Caenorhabditis elegans: one gene and its partner. The protein of the gene in region 2 purifies or fractionates together with the protein of the main gene of each other region. This does not show direct contact. Each region holds a gene or a part of one and is shown on either strand. Other genes may lie near its edges. The genes, in order: klc-2 and unc-14.

Region 1 (5,345 bases), on a different chromosome or scaffold from region 2:
GTCATTTCTTTCGAAACGTCGGTCGCTTGCTAATCGTTGGGTATATAAGCAACGTTGACTACTAAAGTTTTCACTTCGGTCCGGAGATTATGGGTTATCAATTTGACAATTTCCTGCCAGCAGGAAGCCCTGGTACCAGGGTTTGGTACCGCTCATGTTAATCTCTCCGTGTTCTTCATAGAATACAAACCCCTTCCCATAATCACCAACTTGACCGTTGTTTTTTGTTAATTTTTTGAATATCAGGGTAAATGTTTTTCAAGTCTTATTGAATAAATATCATGAATCTTTGCAATTATAATTTTTCTCGAAACGTTTTTCCAATTTAATCGGGTTCACATTTTTATAATTAAAAAAAAATGTTATTATGCGAATAGCTAACAAAAATAGAAAAGCAGTGTTTAATTAGAACTTGATACATATAAATAAATGAGAACTTGTAAACTTTTGGAATTTTGCGAAGAAGTGTAAAGCTTGATGACGGAGTACAATGTCGAGCAACAATCAATACATAACGGATCGTTCCATTCTTCGAGATTCGGACATCTGAAATTGAAGTTTTCTTTTTCTTGTAACAAGCAGAATTCAAAAATAAACCCTTTATTTACAACAACACGATTTTTCAGCTTGTTATAATTATGTTTTTTTTTTTGCTTGAAAAGAAAATTCGAAGCAGACAATATAAAGCTTTACCAAAAAGTTGGTGGGGGCGGACAAGGAAACATTCAATTATTCAACCCTATTATTTATGAACAAGATTTTGTGAATGAGGGGATGGGGCAGAAAGAAAAATCAATCAAAAAAAAAAGAATCATGCACAACACAACGAAAGAAGAAAAAAGCAAGTTTTCGTAGATCTGAGACAAAATTTCAGAATTTGGAACTTGAATCAACGAGCACTTATTAATACAAGAACGATAAGCGGTTTTCAGTCAGTGCTGCAAAGAGATGCTCTTAAGAGTTGAATCCGAGTGCATTCATTAGTTTATTCTTCAATCCAGTTTGAGATGTGCTCGTTGTCATCGAGTTTCTGGATCCACCGATTGTAGAAGCCATCATCGACTGGCTCATTTCATCGATTCCGCCCATCGCTCCACTTCGTAATGGCTCATGCTGAAAGAGGAAACAATACTGAAAAGAGGAAACGAGTGACCAAATTCTAAAGCACATCACTATCACTAAAATACAAAAATAAGCGTTTTATGTGTTTTTTTTTGTTACTGGAATTGTTATTGATGGGGGCTTGGGGAGGACAAGAATATGCTTCGTATTAAATTTAAACTTTAATTTTAAAAAACAATTCGTTTGAATGAGCTTCAGATTTGTGCAATATTTCAGTATTTGCCAATTTTGGTTCAAAAGTTGGCAAGACATTGTTCAGGCAGCATCTAATTTTCGGGTTAGTTTGAAACATAGTTTTGGTCAAAATTTTATTGTCGAATTTTTGATGTGTGCGGCAATTTTCGAAATTTACCGTGTCCGGCAAGTTCGGCAACCGGCAAATTCGGCAAATTTGACGCACTCCCCTGGTTTGAAACAACTGTTGTCAATGTTTTAAGTTCCAAAAATACATGTAAATATGAAGCAAATTCTTGTCACTGGGGTATCGGGGACGCATACAACATTTTACAACATTAATATCTAACTTCTAAATTTTTTTTCTGAACTTTTGTATTTTAAATGCAGTAAAGCGTGCTAGATAGAGAAGCCATGAATGCAGAAAAAACATCATTACATACCTGTTTCTTTGCTCTCAAGGCGACATCTTCCAATGTTTCGGCGGCTTCATATTTTCCTTGTCGCCGGTAAAGGGCTCCAAGGTTCTTGAGAGTTGTTGTGACGGTTGGACTGGAATCAGTTTTGTTTAATTTATTTTTTTCTAATAAAAATCATAATACCTATCAACTTTGGCGGCTTTTGCCCATCCAGCTTGTTCGTTGGCAGTTGCACCTTCTCCCTTGTGCTTGTTCTCCTCTCGTTCTTCAGCGATTTGCCAAATTGGTTTATTCTCTCCACTGATCTGTCCGAACTCTCTTTCATGAGCTCTGGTGAGAATTTGCTTGTACAACTCCTCAGCCTCCTTATATTTTCCTTGTTTCAAGTAAGCAGATGACAAATTGTTCTTGGTCTTTGCCACATTCGGGTCATCAGGTCCAAGTTTGCTCTCGTAGATTTCGAGAGCTCTCTTGTAATACTTCTCGACTTCTTCATACTTTCCTTGATTTTGGCAAAGAAGAGCAAGATTATTGAGTTGCTTGGCCACATCTGGATGATCATCTCCAAGAACTTTCTCGCGAATTTCAAGAGCACGCTTGCAAAGCGGTTCAGCATCCTTGAACTTTCCACGTTTTCCGAACAAAACTGCGAGATTGTTGAGAGTGGCGGCAACAGCTGGATGACTTTCTCCAAGACATTTCTCACGAATACTGAGAGCCTCATTCAGAAGATTTGCAGCCTCTTTGTACTTGTTCTGATCTCTGTAGACAAGTGCCAAAATATTGAGCATTGTGGCAACATCTGGATGATCGTGACCACTCGTTTTCTCCAAATCTTCCAAAGCTTGCTTGCACAATGGAACTGCAACTTCATAACGACCTTGGGAGGCGTATTGAATGACCAAGTTGTGAAGTGTGCGAAGACGAGCTGGAATTTCGTATCCAACATTAGCAGAAGCCGCCATTTGGTTGGCTGGTGTTGGTTGGTTGAATTGACTAGCATTCATATCTTCTTCGTCTTCTGGTCCAAAACCAAGTTCTTGAAGAGTTTCGTTTGTGACTGGTTGTGGTCCAACATCGACAGATGTCTTAGTATCACTTTGCTGAAAACAAACAAAATAAGTTAAGAATGCTCCTCGAAAAATTCAACTTACAGTTCCATCATCAAATTGTTTGATTGATGCCATATACTTAAGATGCTTGTTCTCCTCTTCCAATTGAGCAACCATTTGCTCCGACTGTTGAAGTTTGATTTGAGTTGAACTCAACTCATCACGAAGCCACGCATTCTCCTGGCACAAGCGTCTCCGTTGAGCTTGGTATTTCTGATGTTGAGCATCCATTCCTTGAGTGAGTTGGAATACCATCAGCATCAACGATGTCTCATCAACTCCGCACACCAACTTATCCAAATTATCGTTAATTTGTGAAAGCTTCTGCTTCGGCAATGGAGCTTCATCTTCTTTCACACCTAAATGATTGAATTTTAGTAAATGTTCAACTCGTCGTAAAAAAAGCCATACCTTTGACACTAGTCTCCAAAGTATTCGAAATTGTCGAGTGTTCCTCACGAAGAGCTTCAAGTCCCTGCTGAACGGTACGTAGGCCCGTCGTCACGTCGTCCTGCGACATGTTTGACATTTTCGCCAGCGACTCGATTTTTCGCCTGAAATTTTAAATCTATTAAATGTAATTGGAAGAAGTTCGAGAAGTGTTGGTAGCTAACGAGAAAATTTTTTCAGTGAGTAAAAACAGTTGAATCTATGTAGATCATAGCTATTAGGTCGTTCAATAAGTTTTGCGATAGTCTTTTTTTTTAATTTCAGATTTATCAGAAAAAATTAACCCTTTTTTTCTTTTAAATGTAAATAATGCCAAAGTATGGCACAACAAAAATTAATTAAAATCTTGCATTCTCTCAAAAACGTAGAACTAGATTCAAAAAATATTTTTCCATGAATACTGCTCACTTTGGAATTCTAAAAAATGCAAAAATTTGAAAATCAGCCTGACAGTTTTATACCATAGATCTATTTGGTGCAAGAATTTGGAAAATCTATTATTTAGGTAAATATTATCCAGTTTCAATTTTATGGCTGAAGTTAAAAAAAACGCCAAAATGAGCTCTCAAAGATTGAGGAGGGCGTCTTAAATAACAGCCCTGCCATTTGCTATTGAAATACAGGAGATCGTGGCGAGACCCCCTGAGAAAATACGCATGTGCCTTTAAAATGACATTCCACATTTTCACAAAATAACGATAAACTTATTTTACACCGAAACGTTGCTTTGAAATAAGTTGAAATAAAGCAAAAATGTTCCAAATGTTCAACACGTTTTAGAGAAAATAAAAATCATCGTGGATTGATATTTTCTTTTAAAAATTTGTAATTTTTATTTACTCGGTTTTTGAAATTTTTAATTTGAAAAAATCAAGGCTGCACTATGCGCTATAATTTTTGAAAATCAATAGCATTTCGTGGTAGAACTAATATATTTCTTTGATTTTGCTAGGTTGAGTTGCACTAGAACAATTTTGGAAAAACTTTTAGAAAACTGAGAAACTTTTTGGAATATGTCAAAGATAAGCTAAATATGTGCAACACTATAGGTACAAATTTCGCAATATAAGCAGAAATGAAACCAAATTTTAACTTTCTAATAATTTCTCTCCTGCAAAAGCTCATAAGAAATGGTTCTGAACATAAAGATGCTAATAAAGTGTGGACAAGTAAAACATAACGTTGTTCGGAAAGAGTGTTTGGTTGTATTAACCGAAAGCCCGCTCTCGTCGTGTCGGCGAATAGACAGCGAGACGTGCGCAGCCACTGATGAGAGATCATAGAAATATTAGAGACAACATAGAAACTATTGATCGTCCGTCCAACATGGAGGAAATGAGAGAGCAAGAGACGGAGGCGAGAAAGAATTGCGAAACAATTGGAAAGATGCATCCTTTCATAGTTAATTGCAATGTTTGGACACCTGAGTTTTTATGAAGAATACATCTAGGATTTGTTTAGCTTCATATGCAAAAAAGTATCGAAATTGCTTTGTTTCTCAAGAGAAAGGTGGGATTTCAGAAAATATAAAAACCAAAAAATAAAACATATTAACATAAACTTCTCATGAATTATTAGAATTTGGGCAAAGAGTTTTGATTCATATATTCACTATTTCTGAAAACTTGTCATAAGATCTTGCAATTTTGAATTAGAGGACTAGGAAAGTAGATTTCGATTTTTATTTTTATTTTACGGTAGATGCAAATTGAAATTTTTTGAAAATTAGGGTATCCGCTTAGAATGTACTGTACATTTTTTGTTACAGCCCTAGCGGAAATAACTTTCAAACATTTTTTGATGAGTAATGCATGTGATAAGAAAATGATTCAACACTCTAAATTCCAATTCTCATTTCAAATTAAAAATATAACTTACTGGCGATATGCCTGAATAGTAGAACCGGCCAAATTCATGATGGTATCCAGCTTGAAAGCTTCCACGAGCACTTTTTCGTATTCGGCTCCAGGATTAGTGTCTTAAACTTTTCAGTTTAGATTTATGATGAACAGAAGAAGGAGTTAAAGAGTTTGAAAAGTTCAGGAAATAGCATTTTATTACGAGGTGC
Region 2 (7,702 bases):
CTCCGTCTCTCATCACTTAAATTTTGTTTGCATCGTTGCCCACTATTTTAATTAAGCTCATTTTCTCAATTTCCTCTACCATTTTCTTGTGTCCCAATCAATCATTTCTCACCCACGAAGTATGATGAATTGCCACGTCACACAAACACCGATAGATCTTTTTTCTTTCGCACTCTCTTTCTCATATCAGTTGTGTCAAGTAGACAGAGAGCAGCAGCATCTCGAGTGTCCCATTTTGACAAAAAAAAGATGGGAAGAGATGTTTGTAGTTTTGAGATGAATGATATACGTTTGGTTATTGTCCCAAAGGAATGGTATTATTGTGGAATGCTCTTTGACTCATTTGATTTTATAGAATAGTCTGACAATCTTCTGAAAATTCCTAAAGACCCCCCACAAGAGAAAAGGTATATTCCACATATAAGAACTACAGTATCAAATCATTTTCCAAGTTACTCTAGAGAACATTAGACTACATTATTTCAATAGTTATCAAATGACTTGAAAACGTTTTGAAATTGTTTTATTAACAGTCACTTCAGTTTCATCTTTGAAAAATGTCTAATTGTTTCAAACTATGGCACTTTGCCAAAACTCTGTTTGAAAATTTTGAAAAAATATGAAACATGTCAGAGTTGTTTTAATTTTGGCACTCTTGGAGTAAATTTTGGCTAAGTCATCTTGGCTTCTCAGCTATGGAAGTCAATTATGTTTTACAAACCCATTAACAATGAAATCACTGAAAAGTTTTATTTTATAGTTTTAAAAACAATGAAATTTAGATTTTTTGTCGTAAAGTGTTCATTTTCAAGAAAACCAACGTTACGGTCGTAAAATATTAAAAATCACAACATGAACGAACACGCCCACAACAGAGTTTAAAACATTTCCCGGAACCGTTTTTCAAGTTTTTTGGAAACTTTTTTTCCTGGAAAAACTCTTGTCACTTTCTGAACACAAACTTTTCTTATGCAAAAAAAATACAACTTTGGCACCAAGATGTTTTTGAAAACTTTTTAGAAAATGTTTCAAAAATCAGCCCTTGCAAAAATAATTCAATCTCAAATGATTTCATGGGCTTATATGTTTTTTTATTCTCCAAGTTTTGTGGATTCTAAGATTCTGTATGACAATAGTATCAAGTTGCCTCAATTTTCATTTCTCCGACTTGTTGTCCACCATCACAGTAATACGATTCTTTGTCTTGAAAAATGTGAGCCAATCATCTTTCATGCACAAGTACATTTTCTCGGCCATCTCGTCTAACACTTTCCCTCAAACTACTCTCGTTCGTCTGTCTTCTATTCTTTGCATACAACTCTCAAGAGTGTTTCTCTCATTTCAGCGCTACACAGAGACACAGACAACATCTCTCCGTTGCGAAACACAACGAGAAGAGTATATTGAAGAGTGAGACGGAGAGATACAATTTGGATTGCATAGCCAGCTGACGCTTCTCTCGTTTTCTCTCGTTCTCTCATTTTTCAAAAGGCCAGGGACGCAGATTCATTGATCGACAACGACGGCGACGCGGCGGCGCGAGACGCGTCCCTTTATTTCTTCTTTTTCTAGTCAGCTTCTGTTATTCTGAACGTCTACAAAGGGCTTCATCCCTCAATTCTTCCACCAAAATGGTGGAACTGTGCGAACTGCACATGATGCCTGAAGAGGATCAATGGCCCGATGACATTGATGCTCGAATCGCTGCTCTCAACTTTTGTGGAGAAGATTCGATGCTCTTTGAATCAGTTGATCCTTCTGTATCAACTGATTCTTTAGACTCTCAACAGTTTCGAGAGAGATGTCAAATGAAAAAAGAAGATTTTCAATTAGCATTCGCAGACTCTGGACATTGGCAATCAGGTATAAATGATAATCTGACAACTTGGGGTCGGATTCGGACATCTGAACCATTGGATGAACGTACTGCCAGTGCTCCAGATGTTTGGAATGTAAAAAGAAGTGATAGTGCTCGATCACCAAATCGTCCAAATTCACTGATTGCCAACTTTGTTTCCGGAGATGCTACTCGATTCGTCGATGTAAATGATAATGAAATTCGCGAGGCAAATGAAGAAATAATTCGTAAAGATCGTTGGAGAAGAGATTCAGCGAGACGATGCTCATCTGGAGGACAAAATCAGAAACGAACATTTGCGGATATTCTGGAAAAGAATGTAACAGCACCAACTTCAATGGCAATCACATCGTCTGATAATGAAAAGCCTCCGAAATTAGACTTCCTGGCAATGCATCATGAGGTCAGTTTTTTTTTCGTAAGTGATAAGAGACGGGTGATAAATTTTGTCTGTATTGTGTTCTGCGGCAAAGATCGAGGTGGTCGGAGCGTTCTTTTTTCTTTCGATGCAACGTTTTAAGTTTTTCCAAAAAATAAATCATCTTCACTTTTTTCCGCAGTAAAGAAAATAAACAATTTTTTCAAAAAAATAATTTAAAGAATTTATTTTGATACATTTGAATTTCATCAACATTCACCGTATTTCTCCTACTAATCTTGCTCTTTTTCGGTTTACTTTAACAGTTTATATCTGGCCGTCGGGATATAAACTGTTAAAGTGGTTCAATACTGACAAGACTGATAAATAAAAATACTGTCTGACAGAATATACAAAACCTATGTATCTTGGGAATAGCTGTCAACTGACAAATAAAAACATTGTGTTAATGACTACAAGTATTTATTGCTAGTTTATTTTCTAGTCAACACATTTTTTTCAAAAACTAAATTCTAAAGTCTAAATTTGCAAATACTTAGATAGTATCATCGGTTGGTCATCACATTCCTTCCCATTTAAAAACAATTTTGTAGGTCGATGTTATTTTTGAGATAATGATCCTAACAGAATATAATTTTTAAAAGAAAAAACAGAAAGTATCCCGTCGGGATGCAAATGAAGAAGCAAGAAATAAACATCAATCTTACATAATCCAATCCGCGACAACCAAAATTGTTATCGGTTTCTTTTTTGTGTCAACGTCGCCGCTGTAGTCGTCGCGCCGCACTTATCATACCCATTCATTTGATCGATTGACTGCGTTCGTTTCTATTTTTTAATGTTTCATATACGGACGCATGTCTAGATAATGTCTTTTAGTAGTAGTGTAACCATGAGAAATTAGAACATGCATTCAAACTTTATAATTAAATAAATTAATTTTTAGATGCCATCTCTCTGCGAGTCATTCACCGCTTCGTTCCGTGATGCTATTATTAAAATGCAGAAATGTGAGCCACTACCGTCGATTACTTCAACCAATGATTTTCCGCTCTTCTTTCAAGTAAGTTCTTGTTTTTAGCATTGAAAAATAAACTTAACCATGAGATAAATTGAACAAGTTTTCCCTATTGTGCAGAAGTCTGATTATCAGCTAAAATAGGATACCTATTCCAATAAGCTGCTTTAATTGCTGTTTTAATGCTGTTTTAATAAGCAGGTAAGATCATAAAAACTCAAAGTGCATGCAATTTTAAACAAGAAAATCTTCAGTGGTGATTTAGTAAACATATTTGCATAATAGTCAACCAAGTATCCTTTTTCAACTTTCCAAATTTTTAGTAAAAATTTTAAAAAGTTGTCAAAAATTCCAAAATTGACTTTAGATATGTAAAAGCCTGATTAATTTTTTCGAAAAGTTTTACCACGATATAATACTTTTAAATGGTTTTCCATTCGCAGCTTTAACTAAATATAAGTATAAATTTAATTGTTCCTACAGTAGTTATCCCCATGAACTCATTGTGGCACGTAATCTGATATTTCTCAGTCTCTAATACTCTCACATTATTTGTTTCCATTAATTATTCATCCTTTTCTTTTTCAGGAAGACTCTCCCGACTCAGGACTCGGTTGTAGTGGTCCGAGCCACATTGAAGATTGGCAATCTCTATCTGTTCTTCTGCCCAAGTGAGTCACGTTTTTCATTCGATTTTCCCTTTTTTCTTTCGCTCGCTCATTTTTCATTTTTCGCCGGCTTAATCTCAAGATTATTTCGCGCCCCGGCACTCTTTTATTGAAGGGAAACATTGGAGAAAAATAAGAGACGCAGAGATTTTTCACATTTTCTTTCTTCCCGTTAACCCAGTCGGAGAAAAGATGGCGCAGGGAAGATTGGGAAAAGAAAGGACTTTTTCTGTGGGGTGAACGGAAATTGAGGGAAGAAAACTGAAATGGGCACGTGATTGACTTTTTTGAAAATTGGTCAATCTATCGGAAAAGGTTAAAGGTGGAGATTGTGAGTGTGGATTTAGTTTTAAAATACTCAAACTAGTCTATAACCCTGAAACAACTCAAAAGAAAAACGAAAGAAACTAGTGAGAATGGAAAATAATGTTTTTTTTAATTGAAAAAATAGATTTTTCTGTTTTGGCTAATTTTTCTTTGTTTAAATTACCTCCGAAATGAGAATTTCAAGCCGATCAACGATTCGCTTTTTCAATCAATCATATGGATTGCTGAAACCTTTAAGACGTTGATTGTTTTGAAACTACTTGAGGTTTTTAGCTTTGTTTTAGGTTTTTTGGCATTTTAAACAAAACACTATTAACGCTTTGAGAATCACATCAAAACTAAAAATATTTTCTTAATTGTAATGTTTCAGACACGTCGCAGAAGCATGTTCATTCTTCAAGAGCAACACCCAATTATTAACATCAAGTACATCAAAAACAGCACCCCAAACATCAACAAACATCGTATCAAATTGCATTGATCGCCGTATCTCTGGTATTTCAGCATCAGCAAATGAAGCATGTCGAACGTGTTATCGAGTACGAAGGAGGTAAGAATCTTTTGATTTTTATGAGCTATTTGAGAAGCTAACGGCTAATTGCTTTAGGGTGACGAAACGTTTGATGACCAATCGTTAAAATAGTATACAAGACACATGTTGTGTAATAAATGTGTATCTCACTATTTGTTAGAATATGGTTTTCTGTCTTAAAATATTCATAACAATTTTTTTCAGGATACACCCACCAGTTTGGGCTCAAACTGCCCAATCAAAGACGGTTCTTTGTGACTGCGCATCAACACCCACGGATACGAATTTCTCATTTGCACCAACAACGTAAGCTTCTTCTTCACTGACTCTATTATGCTCTTTAATCTTCCATTTGACCCTCATCATCAATCACTTACCCGCGCACATTCACTTCTTTTCATTCTCTTCCTTCTTTCGAAATCTCATTTCTCATTTCAGTTCAACGACTCGCCATCAACTGCGCGCAAAAGAGCTCTCAATTGTCGGATTGCCGATTTATGCAGCAAAGCGGACACTCGTTGAGAATGTTGTTGAAGGCGTTGCTGCAATTTCAAGAGGGGATGGAAGTGATTTGCTTGTCATGTAAGAAATATTTTTTAATATTAAATATGAGGGTCTGCAACTTTAAAGAAACCCTGAAAATGTAAAAAAAAATGGAAAAATAGTCCAGTTCAATAAAAAATACTCAAAATAGACTCTTATTAATACAAATTAAAATGTTTCAACATTTTCAGCGCCATGAGATGCTTAATTGAAGATGGTCTTCAAGAAAATGTATCGGCATGGACAATGATTCAGACGGTTACCTCAAAAGGCCCAGCTACAAAAGATGTTCATTCAATTGTAAAACAATTGGAAGAATGTTCAAAGACTGACAACGTCAAAGTTGAAATCTTCTTTGAGGAGCTTATCAGGTAATCGGAGAAAATAGAAATATAATCGTTCAAGTAAGAGTTACAGAGAAAACTCATTGGACTGCTGGCTGTGCTATATTGTGTTGAAAGAGAAGGTGCTGAAAACATTGTATTCTGAAAATGCATTCCTTCTTTCTGCGAGTTCTGAATACAGAACTCTTCTTTGGAGAATGGTCGACAGTTTGTCTCTTTTGCCAGGTAATTCTAGTTTTCATTAACAACAACTTAAATGAATGTATATCTAAAATGCCCCAATAGTTCCCTTTTTGAAATTTGCACATTGATATTTTTAGTGATCGAAGCTCGCAGTGATTCAGTTCACCAACAGTTCAAATCAATGCAACAATGGGGCGGAGCATCCAGAATAGCTTCTGACTCAAGAGTTCCAAAGAGTTCATCGTTCCCAGCAAGATTATCAACTGCTCCATCAAGAAGATCAAGGATACCATTGTCAACAAGGTAATTTGTTTGTTTTTTCATTGCAAAATTGGCAGACTTCGAAACGAGACATGTCTTATTTAAAAGTTTATATGCATTTAGACCAGGATATCAAAAAATTTTAAGCAAAGCTCAGCAACCACACTCTAAAAATTTCGCTCTGAAATTTCTTCAGTGAATTTTTTCGCTGTAATTGTGCCTCATTTTTAAGAGTGTTGGGTAGATATTCTGAATTATTTTTGGCAATTGATTTGATTCTAAAAAAATCAACAAATGCAATCAAAAGCTCTCTTGATCTTTGACAACTCTTAACCACTTTTCAATTTTTCAGTCGCATCAGTATCAGCTCAACAACTTCAACACCTCGATCAGCTCGATCACCTTCAACGACATCTCGTATTCGAGTTGCATCTATAATGGGTGACTTCACACTTGCCAATTTCTCCCTCTCAGACGGAGAAAAAGTTAGTGTTCTATCAACTCGTGGAGGACTTGCTCGATGTGTCCGTTTAACGACTTCTCATTCAAAAATCAACAATGGAGTTATTCCGATTGAACATCTTCTTTTCCAGTGAACACTCTGTACTTTATTTTTTTCTTGAACTTTAATTTTTTTCCGATGCTTCATATAATTCTAGTCATGCCACCCAATTCAACCGAGTTTGATCCCCCATCCCATGCATTCATCGTTTTCCCTCAATGATACTCATTTCTTTTTCATGTTCAACTGAATTCATGAAAAATGTTTGAAAACTTTCAAATATTTTTTTGAATTTAAAAGTCATTAGATAGCCTCTCTTTTCCCTCCGGTTTCCTCCAATTTTGCTCCTTCTATCTTCGTATAGAAGAAAATTGCTTTATTTCCTTCCTTTTTCAGCTAAAATCGAGGCAACTATTGGATTCTTTGCAGCTTGCCAAAACATTATTCAATAACAAAAACGAAAATGTTTATTTGTATTTTGGAATAGAGCCAATCGGATTTGTATTGTTTTTGAAAATAAACAATAAATAAAATGCATTTAATTATTAATTTTAAATTTGGAAAAGTTATTAAATAATCTAAAATGTTTGAAAATGAACTTAAAAATGAAAAAACATACAAATAATTTTGTAATTTGGTTTTTTTTTTACACTTTTTGGATTTCAGTGGCGTTGCAATATAGCCTTCAATAATTTTCAAAGATCACCGGGCGTAACATTTAATGATTAATAGTAATTCAACGAATCACAAATTACAACAATTCACAAATATTTACCAAAAACATTTTGATCTTAAGATGTTTTTTTTTTATCTGAACTAGTTTCCATTAGTGTCTCATGTCGAATGATGTGATAAGAACGAATTATTTCGAGATAACAATAACATTTGAAAATCCTATAAAAGGGGGTGAGAAAATTGTAAAAAGCAAGAAGTTCTTACACTGAATTTCCAAATCTAATATGAATTTCACAATTCTTCTTGTTTTTCTGATGGCTGTTGTAGGTGAGTTCCTGTGATTTAGATAAAATTCCTATTTTCTTGTAAAGTTTTTTTAGTTGAAATTGAAGTAGCTAAATACCGCTTATAA

The links.
Region 1: the proteins of unc-14 (region 2) and klc-2 purify together in Caenorhabditis elegans (affinity purification with western blotting, with the first as the bait; one study listed by BioGRID). This does not show direct contact.

Annotation. Positions count from the first base shown.
Region 1 is NC_003283.11:5,576,149-5,581,493, forward strand, and holds klc-2 (Kinesin light chain), read right to left. Parts: upstream 3,357-5,345; coding exon 3,239-3,356; intron 3,187-3,238; coding exon 2,870-3,186; intron 2,819-2,869; coding exon 1,899-2,818; intron 1,849-1,898; coding exon 1,740-1,848; intron 1,114-1,739; coding exon 955-1,113; 3' UTR 589-954; downstream 1-588. UniProt on the Caenorhabditis elegans protein: Kinesin is a microtubule-associated force-producing protein that may play a role in organelle transport. The light chain may function in coupling of cargo to the heavy chain or in the modulation of its ATPase activity.
Region 2 is NC_003279.8:7,122,067-7,129,768, reverse strand, and holds unc-14 (RUN domain-containing protein), read left to right. Parts: upstream 1-1,522; 5' UTR 1,523-1,631; coding exon 1,632-2,261; intron 2,262-3,183; coding exon 3,184-3,300; intron 3,301-3,843; coding exon 3,844-3,926; intron 3,927-4,620; coding exon 4,621-4,800; intron 4,801-4,986; coding exon 4,987-5,088; intron 5,089-5,220; coding exon 5,221-5,364; intron 5,365-5,516; coding exon 5,517-5,696; intron 5,697-5,742; coding exon 5,743-5,894; intron 5,895-5,989; coding exon 5,990-6,155; intron 6,156-6,465; coding exon 6,466-6,709; 3' UTR 6,710-7,155; downstream 7,156-7,702. Other genes in the region: K10D3.8 (uncharacterized protein), read left to right, coding at 7,575-7,617.